Linked DNA regions of Caenorhabditis elegans. The protein of the gene in region 2 interacts with the protein of the main gene of each other region in a pairwise test. Each region holds a gene or a part of one and is shown on either strand. Other genes may lie near its edges.

The links.
Region 1: the proteins of nrfl-1 (region 2) and erm-1 interact in a two-hybrid assay, tested with the Caenorhabditis elegans proteins (2 studies listed by BioGRID).

The regions. Positions count from the first base shown.
Region 1 is NC_003279.8:5,282,960-5,294,047, forward strand, and holds erm-1 (Moesin/ezrin/radixin homolog 1), read right to left. Parts: upstream 7,736-11,088; 5' UTR 7,677-7,735; coding exon 7,659-7,676; intron 7,560-7,658; coding exon 7,476-7,559; intron 7,235-7,475; coding exon 7,034-7,234; intron 5,360-7,033; coding exon 5,205-5,359; intron 4,883-5,204; coding exon 4,723-4,882; intron 4,675-4,722; coding exon 4,492-4,674; intron 3,753-4,491; coding exon 3,573-3,752; intron 3,491-3,572; coding exon 3,143-3,490; intron 2,610-3,142; coding exon 2,504-2,609; intron 2,427-2,503; coding exon 2,260-2,426; intron 1,732-2,259; coding exon 1,639-1,731; 3' UTR 1,103-1,638; downstream 1-1,102. Other genes in the region: dnj-4 (J domain-containing protein), read right to left, coding at 231-380, 429-545, 589-665, 746-854, 915-967.
Region 2 is NC_003282.8:9,117,959-9,125,837, forward strand, and holds the start of nrfl-1 (Na(+)/H(+) exchange regulatory cofactor-like protein nrfl-1), read left to right. Parts: upstream 1-3,413; 5' UTR 3,414-3,522; coding exon 3,523-4,302; intron 4,303-5,319; exon of another isoform or gene 5,320-5,720; intron 5,721-5,846; exon of another isoform or gene 5,847-5,918; intron 5,919-6,847; coding exon of another isoform or gene 6,848-6,865; intron 6,866-7,879. UniProt on the Caenorhabditis elegans protein: Scaffold protein that connects plasma membrane proteins with members of the ezrin/moesin/radixin family and thereby helps to link them to the actin cytoskeleton and to regulate their surface expression.

The DNA.
Region 1 (11,088 bases), on a different chromosome or scaffold from region 2:
ACTCCCCGAGGAGAAGCACACATGTTTTTGACTGAAACTCTTGAATTTACTGTTAAAAAACTCCATATAATGTTATCTCTAATTTTTTTTTGCCAAAAATTGTAGACTGCTCTGCAAAATTATCACTTTTCCGCGGGGAGTACACGAGCTCAGAATGGCCGTGTTATACGAGAAGCTTGTTTAAAAACGCATGCAGCTTTCGTGAAATTGCAATTTTCAATAAAACATACAAATATCCTCCATTATATCCAGCAACAAGTACTAAACCAATGGCAGTCCATTTAACAATTGATTTCATAAATTCTCTTGAAGATTTATCTCGTTCTTCACGACTCGACCGGGAGTTATCCGGATTCTGACTCCAATACGTGGACCAGTCTCTGAGAATATTTGAAATTCAGAAAGAATATTTATATTTTATTACGAACCGACTAAAATCATATTGTGGAGCTGTATTCGGATATTGATATCGTTGTCCTCCATTCGGATATCTTCCACCACCACCTCTCAATTGATAATCATAAAGTCGACGATCAGCTGGTCTTCTGAAATATATCAGTTTAATCTAAAAATCCGAATTTTAAAAACCTGAGCACATCATATGCATTTTTGAGTTCCAAGAAGCTAGCTGTTGCAGATTCTTCGGATGAGTTGTCAGGATGGACCTGGAAGAAAACTTCGACAAATTTTCACGAAAAATTGATTAAAAATGTTTGTTTTTTGGTTATTTTCGGAAATTCCTCACTTTTTTCGATTGTGCATAAAATGCAGATTTAATTTCAGAAAGTGTCGCCGTGCTTTCAACACCGAGCACTTCGTAATGTGTTCGCTGACGGATTTTTTTGTTGAAGAACCTGGAAATTTTACTATTTTTTATTTCTGTGAAATTAAATTCTCAATTATTCAAAAATCACCTTGCTTGGCAAACCCAAAAACCGTGAGGGCTCCATCGAAACCCTTGGAGCATTTGAAAACTCTTCTACTTCTAAAATGATTATCATTTTCTAGCAATTAAAAATATGCAATATAATTTAATTTTTTTTTGTTTCATATATCCCCATTGTTCCAACAATTAATCCTTTTAGTCTTTTCTTTCACATGTCACGTATTCATATTTATCATAATATCATGAGTCATAGTTGAATAACTGTGTTTAAACAACGCATAAATGGGAAAATAGAAGAGTCGAATATTTAGATTTGAATAATATCATAATTAATAAAATAAAATAGATAAACATTTTCAGGGGGATGTCGAGAGTTTGATGGGGAGAGAGAGGGGAAAAGCGTAGAATTTGAAGTCTTTGCGCGAGAAATTCGGGGTTTTTTGGCGGCGGATTTAACAAGTTACTTGAAAAATTGGATATGACGAATACAAGAAGAGGGGAATAGAGAAACCGAGCATTTTTTGGAAGAAAACAAATTTCGGATAATATTGTAAAAGGCACTGATGGGGTGAACAAGGAAGTGAATCGGAACAAACCAATAAATTTTCAAATTAATAATAATAATAATTGTTGTCCTATAAAAAAAACGAGAAAGGGAGAAAAGAGCCAAGATGATGAGCATTTGGAAGTTGGTGGGAGACAATTGAGAATATTGTTTAAAAAAATAAAAGGAAATACGATAGAACAAATAATTACATATTTTCGTATTGATCGATTCTTCGTTTTGTGTTTCCTCCACGGATTTGACGGAGAGTCTTGTACTTGTCGCGTCCGGCCTTTTTGTTCTGAAAATTTAAAAATTTGGAATCGGGCCGGCAGGTTTTTCGGTTTTTCGATATTTCGGTTTCGCTCAAAAAATCTAAAAAATTTAGGGTCAAACTTGTTCAAAAATAAGTAAAATTTATGTTGCTTGTTTCCGTAAAGGAAATACCGAGTTTGGAATGTTTTCAGAAATGTTTTCGGTTTGTCTGCAAACAGAAAACACCGAAAAAACTCAATTTCTGTACTTCAAACAATTTTAATATCATAAAATTATTTTTAAGCAAAATTTGTTTTTAATGGCTTTTTAATGATTTTTAATGATTTTTTTTATTTTAAAATAATCCGGAACTCGATATTTTTTAAAGATTTTTGCGTTCTTCTGTTTTTTTCCAAATTTAATTTTTAAAAAATTGTATTTTGATCGCAGTCCGGAAATATTTTTTAAAACTTGAATTTATGAAAAAAATGCAGGTTCTAGAAAATTACTGTAAATTTTGAATGCTAAATTCTCTAAAACCATCCATTAAAACGAGTTTTTTTAAAATACGAACCTCCATATGCAGAACGTCGTAGTCAGTGACAGCGTTCTGATCTTTAACACTGTCAAGCTCGCGAGTCAACATATCCAGCTTATTCTTGATCTGAATGTTCTTCTCGGCTGCTGTGACACGCTCCAACTCGTGTTGTGGCACATTCTGATCAGCGTCATTTGTGAGTTCTGGAAGATAAAATTTGAAGATGATATTTTTTCTCATAATCTCTCCCAATTATTTTAAATAAATAAAAAAGGCATACCAGTTGCTCCATTATCTTCATCATCAGTGGCAGTCTCATCGTGAGCGTGTCCATTGGAAACGTGATGACTGTTTGAGTAGTGTTGAGTGTGTTGTTGCGAGTGAATCTGAATTTAAGAAAAAATAATTTTGAAATAAAATAAATCCAGAGTTACAATCAGGGATTCCGTTTTTTTTGGTTTTTTCGGACAAGAAAACATTTAAAAAAATGTTTATCAAAAATTTTATGTTTTAGTTGGTATGACGAAAAATGAACATTTTTGTTTTTTTTTGTTGGTTTTTTGGAGAAATTTTAAACAAAATTTGTTTGTTTTTTGGCCGAAATTTTTGTTGCAACATCACTGCGTACAATTAAAAAATCTCGCTTTTAAAGATCGGATTTTTTATTCTTTCACAATTTTTTTTAGTTTTTTCTTTTTGTATCTCTTTTATTGTTGCAAATTTTTTTTTTAAATTAAGCTTTTTTGTTACAGTAATCAACTAATTTCAGGAATTACTGCATACTTTTTTTCATTTTAAAATTTTAAAACAGTAATTTCAGACTGAAAATTACTGCTCGATAATTGTTAATACGGTATTTAAAATAATTTTTTTAAAGAGAATTTTTTGTTTCTATTTTAGTTTCAAAAATAAAAAATACCTGTGTCTGAAGTTGTCTTGTAACAGTAGTCTGTCTCTCGACTTCTTCTCTCATCGAAAAAACTTCACGTTCACGAGCATCAACTTGGTCTCTCAAATGACGTCTCTCACCATCACTCATTGCTTTTTCGGATTGAAGTTGAGCAGTGAGCTCACGAAGTTCGTATTCCTTCTGTTCCAATGCTTGTTTAGCCAATTGCAATTGCTTGAGTTGAGCCTCCAATGAGTGAATTGTATTGTGTGCTTCAGCCAATTCAAGACGAGCTCTCTCCATATCTTCCTGCATTTGAGCCATACGCTTTTCGGCGTCACGTTGACGCTGTTCGGCTTCTTCGCGAGCAGACATCTCCTGTACGATCAAAACAGATTTGAGTGAAAGTTTTTTTAGAAATTATTTGTAAAAACATGTTTCAAAAATTTCCGCAACTTACTCTGGTGAGCTTCTCCTGCTCGGCAATCTTAAGAGCACGATCCTCTCTGGCTTGTTGCTTCATTTGTTGAACTTCAATGGTATCTGGCTTTCTTCTACGCATGTAAAGCTCGTGATTTCCCATACACAAAGCAAGAATACGTTTGTTGATACGGAGTCGTGGAGCGTAGAAGACAAAGTCCTGAAAATTAATGATAAAAATGAAGACGAATAATGAAAAACATTTTTTCGATTTTTTTTTCAGCGAAAATAAGAATTTTTTTTCGATTTTTCTAAAATCAAAAAATCGGGGAAAAAATGTTCAGAAAAATTACAACAAACTCAATTTCCACAAAATGTTCCATCCATCTCGAAATTTGCGATTTTTGATACAAAAACACATTACTCGATATCGAGGCGATCGAATAAATTTAAATGAAAAAGGATGTGCGCATTTAAAAAGTACAGTAGTTACCGTTGAGCTGATTTGAAATTTTCATAGATTTTTTCTAAATATTTTTATTGTAAAAACCTTTTATTTTACTTTTGTTAGTGAAACTAATTTTTATTAATTAATAAACTAGAAAAATCTAACGAAGTTGGAAATCAGAAAGGCCTGGAGCTACTCTACTTTTTAAAGGTGCACACCATTTTGGTAAATAAATTTATTCGGTCGTGTCGAGACCGAGACCGGGCACCATACTTTTGCCTCAAAATCGCAACATTCCGCATCTGGTCAATGATTGTGATATTTTCACACCCCAAAAATAAGAAAAACCAACAAAAAAATTTTAAATCAAAATTCAATGTTCCATCGATTGCTTCTTATCACCACCACTTCCAACTACTATCACACAATTTTTCCGTTTTTTCCGCAGAAATTTTGCCAACAAATAGAAGCTTGATGCCACGACAAACTGTGTGTGACAGTAATCACTTACATGAGCCTTCTTATCAATTGGTTTGATGACAAATTTCTTGTCGTTGAATGATATATTACGAATCTCCGACCATGGGAATCCGACTTTCGGCGAAAGACGATCAGCTTTATCGTAAATATTCAATCCAAGAGCATCGACACCAAGATAGAGATCAGTTCCCTTTTTGTTGCGGATTTCAAAGTACTGAAATTAGCTTTTTTTAAAACTCGACAGAAAAATGAGAAACAGTACATTGACTCCATACATCTCGAGATCTTGTGCAATTTTCAAATATTCAAGCATAGCTTGTTCACGTGTAGTTGCACGATGATCTGCCCACCATGTCATAATACGGCGTTCCCATTCCTCACTGTTCAATTTGAATTGTCCGAGAACGCGTTGAGGAAGCAGACTGGAATGAAATAATTAATTATTTTTGGCATTTAATATAAAAAGTTTACTTTTTTTTAACTACTTCTTATTATATACTTTTTTATTGATCATCTAGATCTGGAACTTTCCCTTCTTTATTCTAATCTCATTTTCATGTGATAATTATGAATTGTATGAGTACTGTGATACTGTGAAATTTCACTACATAATTAAAAATGAATTATCGCAGAAAATTATTATTTTTCTTATTTTAGTAATCTTGATTGGAATTTTGAACCGCAAAGATATTTTTTAATAGTTATTAATAATTTTTTTAAAAGCTAATTTCAAGAAAAACTCACCGATCAGCAGTAAGACATCCGGCGACATGTGTCTCTGGAACATAGTCTCCATATTTAGCTTGCATCGCGTAAGAGGCAAGAAGAACAGAGGTTTCCGGTGGACAATAAATCTCATCTGACAGAATTCCATCTTTCACTTGGAGATAGAACAAACGCTGAAAATATTTTCATTTAATTAAGGCTTAATTTCAGTTAAAAAACTTCATAATTTTTTAACTGTATGTTCTGTACATTGAGATTGTTTTCTGACATTTTAAAAAACCATACTCCATTTTCAACTAATGATTCTGAAACCCAATTGTTCCCTCTTCCAAACAAAAAATTCTGCAAATTTTGCAAAAAGTTCAATTTATATTCTCTTCCCCTCATATTTATCGTTTTGAATCATTTTTTGATTATTCACACATGCCATTCTCCTCTTCCTCTTTATGTCAGTTATGAACATGAATATAAAAAGAGCAAAGAGACAGCAACAAACTGAGAGTTTTTTCATTGTTTCCATTGATATGAGTCATCGGAACAGAATTTAAGTCAGTCTATCTATTCAAATTCAAATGCGAAATATTATTGGAAATCTAAAAAAAAGAGAAAAAATCAATTTACTTAACCGGAAGTGATATTTATATTTTTGAATCATTTGAGAAAGTGCTCAAAAAAGGTTTTTTTGTGAATTAGAAACTTTCAGACCATTTTTGTGCATTTTCTCAAATGTTTCAACTGAAAAATGTTATTTTCATAGAAATAAAAGTATTTTTCTATATTTAAAAAAAAAAGAAATTTTTACATTAATTTTAACAACTGATCTAAATTTGCATATAGGTACTAAATCAATTTGCATATAGGTACTAAATAGCTATTCTACTGAAATCTTCAACTGATCTTGTGATCCTATTCAAACAAAACAGACCACCCAGATCAGAGATTTCCTGTTCGCAGTCGGAGGTTCTAATAGGATGCTCATTTCTCCTCTCAAAAAAAGAGTCTCGCACACACAGTGTCTTCCCATCGATGTTTACAAACCATTAAACAATCTCTTTTTGTGTGAGACAAAAAAGTGGCTCGGAGGTAATCGGAAACCACACTCTCAATGGGAGAACCTTTTTTTGAAACGGAAGGGAGAAAATGCCCATGTTTACACTTGTCACCATCAAAATATTTTGTTTTTAGGCAGTTTATTGAGGACCTTGTGAGCACATGAGCCGTGGAAATTTTTGAGCAGAAGAGTTTTTTTTGCTCAAATAAAACTGGTTTAAAAAATTCAAAAATTCTTTATAGCGAGCCAAAATTCTCAAAAAAGAGCCAAATTTTCCTAAATCGGAATGCCATTTTATTGAATTATCACTGGCATAAAAAACTTTATTCTAATTTTAGCAAAAATATCGGATTTTTTTAACAGAAAAAATATCGGATTTTTTTCAGAATTTTCACTGCTTTAATTCATTTTCGGGCATTTTTTGAGAAATTTCATTTTGAAATTTGGTCGTTTTGGGGTCTTTTTAAGCAGGCCAGCTTGTAAGAAGGTACTCTAAAACCACAGAAATGTATTCCTTACCAAAATTTTCCCCTTTTTTTCTATTCTTGAATATACTCCAAAGTTATTTCCTATTGCTTGCCAACATTGCATTACATGCATAAATGGCACGGGCATTCTCTACTTATCAGTTACAAATCAGAAATAGCACAGGAAATCAAGAGAGTCGCCAGAGAATGTCAGAAAAGCGAAAAGTGAGAATTACAACTAAAAATCAAATATTGGCCAGAGGTAATGGAAAATTTACAGTTTTTTTTTTCCAAAAAATTAAATATTTAAAAAAAGGTGTCAAACATACCATAGTGACATCCTGGATAATCTCCTCGGCCACATCTTCCGGATAGAATTTGGCGCGGAATTTGAAAACAAGAGTCGGGTCCTTCTTAACGTCCTGAGACAAGACTTTCTTGTTCAATTTCAGCCATGTTGGGAATCCCTTGTTGTCAGTGTACTGAAGTCCAAAATACCAGATCTCGCGGAGACCAATGGTTTTGACAACCTGCAAAAATTAAAATGAAGGAATTAATATTGCTGGAAAATTCGAAACTCAATTTCAAGAGCTGGAAATTTTGGATTATTTTTTTCAAATTTAAATCGTTTTGATTTAAAATTTCTAATGGTTAGTGAAAATTTAATGTTTCAGAAAATTCTGATTTTTTTTTTGAATTATTAAAATTTATCCATTCTCCAATTTAATAAAAAAAGTACTTTTTAAATATAATAAAACAAAATCATCTAACCTGATCAAAAAGTTGCTTTCCTGTGGTGCTCGACTGAATAGCGAACTCGAGCTCCGAGTCCATCGAGGTGACACGCACATTGATCTGAAACAAGAAATAGTTGGATTAGGCAAAAATAAAATCGATTTTTCGTTATATTTTTTCTTAAATTTCTAAAAAAAATTTTTTCAATTAACAATTTACATCGCCGGCCGCAACCATTTTTCTATTTTGTGTTCCACAAGTTTGAACTGCTGGACCAATTGATATGAAGAGGTTAGCTTAAAATTTTTCAGTAAAATGATATAAGAAATCTTGCATGAAAATCAGAAATTCAAAATAAAAAAAAGAGTGAAACTTGAGAATTTAAAATTCTTATCTAAAACTAAATGATATGAGTTGTCACTCTCTCTCCCTGTATACAGCACAAAAACGGAGTGAGAAGAACTATAGACCGCCCGTTTTTGTACAGGCTCCGCCTATTTGTCGGTTTGCACACATACATGTGCGCATTTCTTCATAGAAGTTTCGGCAGAAAAAAAAAGAATGAAATGATATTTCAAATATCATCAATTTTGAGTTTATTTCGAGTTCAAAATTGTTCGCGGCTCTACTTCGTAAGCGTAAAAATCTGAATTGTTTTCTAAAATTTTTTAAATTAATTTTGTAAAAAATATATGTTTTGTATTTTATTTCCCACTTATATGTTTAAAAAGAGGCGCATTTATGCAAAATGGTATTGAAACCCTCTATTTTCGAAAATTTCAACAAAACCTCAAAAATGAGTCCATTTTGCAGAAATATGCCTCTTTATAGTCTTATAAGTGAAAAATAAAATACAGAGTATATTTTTAGATCGATAGATTCTTATTTTTTAAAAAAATCGGCAGAAGTCGTGCTGAACAGAACATAATTTCCGAAATATTCAACATTTCACAGTTTCAAATTTTTTCCATTTGTTTTTAATTAATGGCGGCATTTTTTCCGAAAGAAATAAGAAAATCGCAAATTTAAACAGTGTTTTTTTTTATTTGGCCGTAAAAGTTTTAAATTATTTGAAGCTACATTTTTCAAACTTACCGCTTTTTTCGACATTATTTTAGCTCTTTTTGATGTCCGAGTCGAAGATGGATTGGGGTGAGCGGTGAGAATTCACGAAACTTTTCCACCGAAAATCTTCGTCACTTTTTTCTGCAAGAAAGTAAAATAAGATGTGAAAATAGAATTCGAATGAACAGAGATTTCAAAAATTCATGAGAAATCAGAAAACGGAGCGAAGAAAACGAAACAAATGAGTTCAAGGTTATGAATTTTAAATTTTGAATAGAGAAATCTAATTTTTCAATCATTTATCCGAAAATTCAAAGTGACACATGGAAAATTGTGTATATTTTAGGGGGATTTATACATTTGGCGATTAAAAAAAATCAATAAAACTCGAAAAACAATAAAAAATGAGTCATCGTCTGATTCAAACCCGTTCGGATCCGTTTTTGGCGCGTTCTGCGATTTGCCACTGCACGAGAATCGCGCCAGCAGGGCGTTGGCGCGATTCTCGGGTGCCTGGACAGTTTCTTGGGAGTTTTGGCGAGTTTGAGTTTTTTTTAATGCTTTAATTATTTTAAAGAAAAAGTTTCATGAATCAAAAAATTATTCAGAAAAATATGTGTCACAGGTGGGAATATTGATTTTGATTTACAGGTACAGGGCTATTATTTCCGGCAATTCTACAAAATTATTGGGCTATGTTGTTCCAACGTTTTTCACTAAAAATTAGTGTCAAAATATCGAAAATCACTCGATTTATCTGGAAATGAAACATATTTTTAGCTGAAACATTTGAAGAAATGCTCAAAATCGGTGGGAAAGTTGCAAATTGTTAGACAAAAAATCTGATAATTCGATAATCGGATACTGGCAATTTTCAGGCCATTTTTAAAAGCTTTCTTAAATGTTTTAGCTAAATTGAAGTTTATTTTCAGACGAATCAAGTAATTTTTCGATATTTTAACACTAATTTTGAAAAATGTTGAGATAACATGACAACAAAAAATTTGATGGAAAAAGCCAATAAAGCACACAAACTGGCTTAAATTTTCAGCTGGATACCGTATTAGAACAGTACGGAAAAAATTCCAAGAAGTTCGAGACAATTCGCTAAATTTTTGATAATTTTGAAAAATTAACTGGAAAAATAAGGAAAGTAAAGATTCAATATAAAAACTTCCGTAAGGAGAATGAAAACAGCAAAAAAACACCTATTGGAAAATACTTGTTCACAGAAAAAAGCGGTTCGATCAAAATGATCTGAAACTACGAACCGAGTACAACAAGAAGAAATGAAAGGTTTATTCTCTATTCTCAACTGCATTTGAATATATATAAAATATGAATACAGTACTATGTAAATAAGTTTGAATGTGTCGTTTGTATGTGTCAGTGAGACACCTTTCTCTCTCACACATTGACAGAGTATTATTGCAAAGTGATAGGAAGAAATATGCAAATGTGAAAGAATAACGTTTTACAGACGGAGCACAACAATTCTGAGGTTATGGAAAGCTTTCAGGATCTCAGTTGAGCAAAAGAGGAATAGTTGACTTGATTCAAAAGTCAATTGACTTTCATGAAAAAGTAAGATTTTACAGAATTTTCTCAGTCTGTGTAGCATTAAAGAAGAAAAAAGAATGTTCAACAAGTTCTAAGAGATTTAACTCAACTTTGTAAACTGCTAAAAACAGACAACACAGTACGATTCAGGTTTGATTTCTGAAGAAACGAACGAAACGAACGTTGTAATAAAAGTTTGGAAATGTTTGCTGTATGACTAGGTGACGATGGATTGTGTGTAGTAGGCGGAAGATGACACTTCAGATATTTTCAGAAAAGAAGAACATCAATAGAATCTAACTTATTAGTTTTATGCATTGCAGATAATCTACTAATCTATAAATTAATAGATCAGCTGCAATACAGAAAATATAATTTAAAAAATATATTTTAAAGCAGAAATATTGAAAAATAGTTATCAATTCTGGGCTGTTTTTTTTGTCAAAAAAACTTTTTTCCCTGGGCTTTGGAGAAATTAAATTGTTATGTTTTTAGTTCCAAAATTTCCAGAAAACCTCGCATATTTCCATATTCTCCAGCTGCAATAAATTAAAAATCTCGAAAGCCAGGTGCGAGAAAATATAAACTGTCTAAATTTGGCAGATGTGTCTTTAGAGTGATTGCTGACACTCGAATTTGATTTTCTTGAAGTTTCAAAAATAATTTGGCACGTCCCCTATGCCTATATAACGTATCAAACAGAAAATACAGCAGGCTTCCTTACCTTAAAACTAAAACAAGTTATAAGGTTAGGTGTAGGTGTATTTTGGAATGCGAAAATAATAATAAAAAAACAGAGAAAAAACTCTATATCTATATGATTCATTATGCATATATGTTTGTTTAGTTATGTGGGAGGTTATGGTGTTTTTGCATTGCACAATTGTATATTATGAGAGAATGAATAATAACGGGTAGTAGAAGTTCTGAATGTGAGAACTCAAGCAAATAAATTATTTTTCTACAAAATGAGACAATGTTACATATTGTCACAATATTTTTAACTAAACATTTTAGTGATAGA
Region 2 (7,879 bases):
AACCTAAATATTATTGAACTAAAATCAAAAACTGCCAGAAATTGGTTCTTGTCATTTTTAATGTTTTATCACTCCGTGATTTTATCAGTATTACAGTTTTTAGACTGGAAAGTAACATTTCCAATTCAGAAAAGTGATAGTATGATATTTCAATTGTTTTCTTGGACCTATATTGTAATTTTTTGTTTTGAACAGAAACAATTTTGCTTAACCATTTTCAATTGGGATAATTGTCACTCACTTATTGTCGATAATTATTTTTACTGCATTATCCAGTTTCCATCATCCAACTTTCTCAAGTACAGGCTACTTTATTCGCTTAGAAACTTTTTTGCAACTCTCCAATTTCCCCCACAAAAGAGCACAAAGAGCAAACAGTGTCAAGCATATTCATTCGTTCTGCGTGTCTAACCTCTAACGGTATGCGTGTTCTCAGTCACTCACTGCTCCCCTCTCTCTCGTTTTCTGCCACTGTTCAAACTTTTTCCACGTGTGTCTGTTTCACGTGGAAGTTTCAAGAACAGTGTTCTCACACACTTCTCTTCTACAACTATTTCACATCTTTTTGGCGCAAATACAAAAGCTTGTCGGACAGATAGTTGTCGGTCTGCGGCGCCGATGTGGAGAGTTGCCAGCATTTTCGAAAAAATGCCGAAGTGATAAGAGATTGTGTCCTCTTTTCACTCTACGGCACCCGGCATAATCACCACCTCTTACACGCTCTTTTTCTACCCCCTATTCCCTACATTTTGTCACTTTTTTCTCGCTTTTTCCATGTCGAACAACGTTTTCCATGTTTCCGATCGTAAATTCTACCAAATCTTGAGTAGGTCTGGATTTCTCAGCATTCTCCTTACTGTTCAGATTCATGTCACTTTTTCTGTTGTTTTCTTGCTCATATTCTTTTGTCAAATTTTTGAAATTCCTAAACTTTTATTTTATATTTCTCTGAACATCAGTTTGAGAAATTTCCTGTGACTCATTTTCCCAGAACCTATTTTATGAACTCTCGAAAAATGTTATTTATTCTGATAAATAGTGTATCGTAGCAATGAATCACAAATAAATAAATTTTCTATTGTTTTTCAGTTTTTCTCGCATTTTTGGAATGTTCCCATTTCTAATTTTTACATTTTTAGCCATGGTGCACATTCCGAGCGACGTGACTCCTCCAAGACTTTGTGTCGTTGAGAAGTTGAATGGAGAGAATGTAAGTGATTCAAATGTTTGAAACAGAATTGTATATGTTCTCTCTTCTATAAGTAAACGTTTTGGAATATTGTTATTTTACTATTAATACCCTCACAAATTGGAAAAAAAGTATGCAGTTCAGCCTGAGTTGTAACGCATGGAACTTTTTGAATCTGATAATTTTTCAGGCAACACGTGATGTAAATTGGAGTTTAAATAGTGTGTTATCTATAGTTTAAATTCCCATATATGTATGTTCAAAAACATTTAATTTCAGGAATATGGCTACAACTTGCACGCCGAGAAGGGACGTGGACAGTTCGTTGGTACCGTCGATCCGGATAGTCCTGCTGAGAGGTAAACATTTTTATTTTTGATATTGATGGACAATATTCATTGACAAATACATATATCAATTAAAAACCAATAATAAATTATTGAGTTTCAAAAATCTCTCAATACTAAAATGCTATGAAGGCTTTCACAGTTAGTCCATTTTCTCTGGTCAGCTCTGAAAATTGTAGAATATTTTAAAGTATTGGCATTGTCGGAGAAGAAACTGCAATTTTTGTTTCTATTTTACCAATTGTTTAAATATTTTCAGAGGAGGATTAATCACTGGTGACCGAATCTTTGCTGTCAATGGTCACTCGATTATTGGAGAAAATCACAAGAAGGTGGTTGAGCGCATAAAAGCAAATCCAAATCGATGTGAAATGCTTGTGATCTCTGAAGAAGGAGCTAAGTGGTACAATGAAAATAATGTTCAAATCACATTGGACCTTCCAAATATCGAACGAGTTTCTCCAATGGTTAGTCAAAATGTAGATTTTATCTTTACAAAATTAAAAAAAACAATTTTGTGTGACTTTTCTCATTCTCCTAACTTTATTTTAAATTCTAAAATTTTTAACATGTAAGATAAAAAAGTCTTCATTGTCGTGAAGAATGCAATATTCGTTTTTGACAGTAAAATTAGAAACATTTTCCATTTGTCTTATTTCCCTTTGTTGCGCCTAAAATCCCTTATGTTACCAATTGTCAGAGGAACTCCTGTCATCCGTCCAACAATTCTCCCCCGCCAAGTTCGTGGTACGCACCCACGTCATATTCACAGGTCAGTCTTTTTGCCTTTTCACATAATTTTCTCCTTTCTCCACTTTGTTTATTCCTCATTGTTATTTTGTAATTTTCAAACAGTATCGAATATCAAATAGTATAGCTGTAGTTGCTCATTGAGCATCATTTGTTTATTTGACACCTCTAGTTGCACTTGATCAACCGAACTTCGTATATCTACTGAGTCACACTGAACCATTTTTATGCGTCATTTTCATATGTTCTCACACTAAAAAAGGATTGACAAATATTTCGAGGTAGATAGACAGGGAGTCGATAGACAAGAAATGACGTCATTTTAGATGAAAGTTATAGGAACAATGAAAATTAAAAATTGGTAATTGAACCTGGGGAAATTGGAATTAACATTATTAATGGCTATGCAATTTTAGAACTGAAATTTTTAAAAAGTTATACAATATCCGATCTCAAATGAAGAAATGGAAATAAAAATTCTTGCAAAAAAATTGAATAATTTTTTTCTGTTTCATAAATAGTTAAAAGACTTATTCATAAATTTCAAAAATTCGGGAATTGCCTTTTCCGCACAAAAAATGTTTCCTCATTAAGGAAAACCCGTGGTTGGTTTGGAGACTATCTTGAAATTGTAATGCACATATTCTGTCATTCGATGATGCTTTATATAGTTTAGGCGATTGAAATCTGATTAAAACTTTTCTTTAGAACTCCATAAAAATATTTGATTTATTGCAAAAGTTTTGTAAACTTTTCTAAGTTCCTTGTAATATCTAAGTATTGCTAAGACATCATTTCTAGTCATCCACTTGTACTTTCTCTCCTCCAATTTTTGATTTACAATCTGATTCTCCATGCACTCCAAGACGTTCTCAACCATTATTCTTCAAACGGAACAACTTTTCGATGATTCTCGAATCGATGAAGAAACGGACGACACAATAGCGTTGGTTTTGTGTGTGTGTGCCTGTTTTGTATGTTAATATTCAATAAAAATATGAAGAAGATGGAAAAAGACGGGGCAAAGAATTTATGGGCCAAACCATACATATTCTATGCATTGAGGCACGAAGAGGGACAAAAAAGTTATATATCTTGACAAACAAAGGAATACCAAAAAGGCACTTTTGTTTGATTCACATTCCTTGGCTCTTCGGCACATCACTACAGTATTCTCAACTCTTATTCTCAGCTAAGAAATTTCAATTCTAAATCTGCATATTGCCTTCTTCAAACATGGATCGCAATCCATCTGAACCAGAAAGAATAGATTGGAAAAACCCAATCACGTGGATTTCGTATCTCTACACCTCTTTCGTGTACTATTTGTGGTTGATCTCCTCGCATCTACCACATCTCCCACAACCACAACGGATTACCGATGACAAATCAACGGAGCAGATCACCAGAGACGCAGGTATTCCGCGCACTGAGATAGTAACACGAGGAGATGCTACGCAGACAGTTAGACAAGTAGCGGGTCTAGGGGACCCAGCGCCAAAGGATTCATCATTATTGCCTCCCTCTTCGTCGTTCGTCTATTGCAACAACTGTCTAACACCTCATTCGTCTCAGAGGACTTGTTCTCCAGCCTACGTCTCTACTCTCTCAAGACAAAAGTCTTTGACGTTGCTAAAGAAATTGAAGAAACCCTCATCATCTGCTTCTTCCACCACTACCACCACATCATCGACTGTATCTTTCCGTGCACCTTCACGTGCATCATCAACGATCTCCGACGCTTCTACCATCCGCCCATCTGAACTCATTGCTATCGTTCCATCTGGTAGCCACGTGTTGCTGCGAGTTCCGAAACTTGATTGGAAAACTGAATCAATTCGAATCAAAAGAACTAGAATGAGTGATTGGATGGATGCGGAGCAACGGGATGTGATGAGACAATTTGATGAAGTTATAAGATCAGAAGAAGAAGACGAGAGGACCTCACGAAAAAGGAACGGAATCTTCAAAGATGGATCTGTAAGGAGTATTGAATCATTGGAATCTAGGAGTCGGGTGAGCACACGTTGTGATTTTGAAATATCGACTCAAAAATAAAACTTCTTTCTAACAATTATAAATTTAAAAGTTAGAGAATTATCTATTAGTATTGCACCCCCTTACTGTAGGCAGCTCATAACTGATTTTTCATTGATTTTATTATAATTTGACAACTTTCTACTTATAATCTATTTTACTATAATTTTTTAGTTAATAATTTTGTTGATGTCAGCAACTGTCTTTAAAATGAACCGATAGCTCCAAAGAAACGATGGAAAATTATATTTTACGGACCAAAGTTGATCCAAATTTTTTGCTGACAATTGTTCCTGTTTATTCAAAATTTAAAAATTTAAATTACACATTTTTTGGTTTGGGCTATAATTCATCATAAAACCATACTTCTTTAAAACGTGAAATCTCAACTTGTTTTACAGCATTTCAGATAAAATGCACACCGTAGAATTAATTGAAATGGTATTTCAACTGGTTTCTTTTCTTTGTTTTTCATCTTTCCCATACTGGTACGCGTGCCTATCCTTACCCAAATTCTTCAAAAACAATTTGATAAGGATTTCAGTATTTTTTCTTTAAATTGATTAGAGACCAACTTCGCCAAACTATCAATTGGGTACTATGTTTTATAAACTATTCCAACATTTGTTGAGGTATTCGTCATCCTCTTCAACTTTTTTCTTCAATATTTCCATTTTCTCCAAAAAGAATTTCATTTTCATATAAATACGAGTATCATTTCCTCTTCTTCATATTTCTGACTCATCTTTCCTCCATCTTCTCTTGCATACATTTCCAAAAATTTTGCCAACTTGCCAAGTAAACCGCAAACATACGAGAAAACTGTTAAAACTGTGTCTGCACTCTACGCACTCTCTCATTCAGCCTCTTGAAGCTTATGTATGTTTTGTTAAATGTGTGTTGTGGCATTGGCAAGAAAGGAGAGAGAAGGTAGATCATTTTTTATTGAGAAGAAAATGACAATGAAGAAGACAAGTAATAAAAAAATATGTTTAGTGCGAGAGAAACAGAACAAAATGATGATTTATGATCAAAATTGAGACATTAGAAAGTTGGAAGAGGAACTGTAAATTAAATGAGAAAATGGGATACAGAGATATGATAGCAGATAGATTTATGAGGTATTGATACGGAAAATAACATAAATATTGGAAGACTGGCGGACTGGAAATTTGCACAGTTCAATGTTAGGAAGATTGAAATGAGTGTAGAAAAACAACTCAAAGAGGAGTGTAAATTAATCAATAAATAGGTTATTATTTTTGACAATTAACACTTCAATAAATTGTGACATAATTAAAAATATGATGAAACAGAAATAGTTTTGGAAGACTAACGAGTTACCAGCATTCCAGTGTTTAACAGTATATTACAACTCGATGAAACATTCGAAAATTCTAAAATGGAAAATCGATTAAAATTTTTTACTCCTTTAAGAAATCTTGTTCGTAAGCCATATTCTCAGAGAGAACCAAATTCAAAAAAGTTGTCTGACTACAGTAATCCGCAACAATTCCACTTACCTATCATTCGTTACAAATCTTCCTCTTCGTTTCTTTGTCCTTTAATAAATGACCTTCATTTGAATATATCTAATTGGTCCTCCATTAGACACCTTCTTCCAATTGTTTTTTATCCTCCACCTGCCATGTCTTTATTTCAATCTGTCTGTGTCTCGTGCTCTCTCTCTCATTCAATAGAAAGATAGTTAACGAAGCATGACGCATTGGAATATCTTGCTTCACTAAAAGATTGCAACATTCCAATTCTATTAATTTTTACAAAAAACCAACAATCTTCTCCCATTCTTGTCATTTGTCATGTTTAGACACTTTCTCAAGTATTTTACTAATTTTCTTCAAAAAGTACACATTCATCAAACGTTGTATGTTCAATATTCTTTTCCTTCAAACAAACTTTGAATCTCATAAAATGTTTTGTGGTTTCGGAACATGTTAGAAATACAAATAACTTGTCGGAAAACTTTCACAAAACTTGAATTTTATTTCTTGGCATTTCCCAACATTGAAACGCATCTTGTAATCCGATATTTTTGGGACTTGTTTTTTATATTCACTTTTATTCGAAAGAATATCAGAAATAATATACATTAGACTATTTCAAGTGGCGTAGGATATAGGGTTCCTTTTTCCGTCGAAATATTGAAATAGTTCGATTTCGGTTTTTTTTTTGGGTCTCTGAAAGTATTGAAAGTTATAAGATTTTTTACTTAAAAGTACATACTTTTTCGATTTATTCGCTTTAGTTGTTTGAATAACTGTAAAACTATACATAAATTTACAAGTATCCAATCTCCATATGACTCTTGACACCCTGTTGTTGAAATTCAAATCCCTCCGATTATTATTATTAGTCATCATCTTTCTCATAAATCTCTCGGTTTGATTTTATCTTCCCGATATATTTTCAATTCAACTATCCAACATCTCACTTTTCTTGCATTTCTAAATTATTAAAAATTTACATTTTTGTGAATTCCATTGATAAAAGAAAACTATTCAAAATGCATTTTATTGATAAGGTGAGGATATGCGTTAAATTTTATGGTTTTAATGTTTTTAAAACTCATAGATTTTTTAAAAGTCAGCTTTCAAAATTGTGATATGCGGAATCTGAGTAATTGCCAAAAGTTTTGCTATGATATTTGTCATTTCAGTATAATAAAAGTGGTTTTCAACCTTTTCCCCACTGTGCTTGTAAACATATATTTTGGTTTAGCACAAGGTGGTTGACTTTTTTTAATTTGGTAGAAACACATTTTTGGACCCCACTACGGCGATTGTCACAAGGTATCGGGTACTTCATCATTGAAAATTCAGGATTTGTACTGTTCCCCTTCAATTCATTGTCAATATGTTTTTGATCACTTTACCACAAAAAAGATCACAAAAGAGTAATGGCAAATGTCCAACAATTTCCTCTAACCAGCCGCTCTTTTTCTTTCTCACCCCGAATGGTCAACCTTGTTGGGTCCAAACAATTGAAAACAACGTCGGAAACGTGTACCTTTCGGTTCTGCTGTAGGGATTGTTGTTTGTCGGTACTGTATGCTGTTTGGCAAGGTGTGCAAATAAAGAAGATGAGAGGGAGAGAAAGATAGCTCATTGAGCACAGAAGACTGATTGAGAGAGAGTACTGACTTTGTAGAGATGTGAATCATTTGGAATATGTACTGATTCATGGATAAGATTTTCGTGTTTTTGTGTGCTTTAAGGTGCGCCTGTTTTGATTTTTTGGAGCTCTTCATGGCTTTCAGTATGACAATATAAAAATTGCTCAAACTTTTGACAATTTTAAAATTAATTTCTCAGGTCTGTAAGGGAACACTAAATCAATTTTCCGGAAAGAACATTTTTCAAATTCGAACATTCGAAAATGAAGTTTTTATCACAAAACACATGGTCAGAACACTTTTTTGCAAGCGTTATTTCTTAGTGATATATGGTTGGATAGTCACATACTTATAATCCTCTTCTTCTTCTTTTTCATTTCAATATATGTTCCTAGTAATGTTCAATTCCAAGATTTCCTTCTC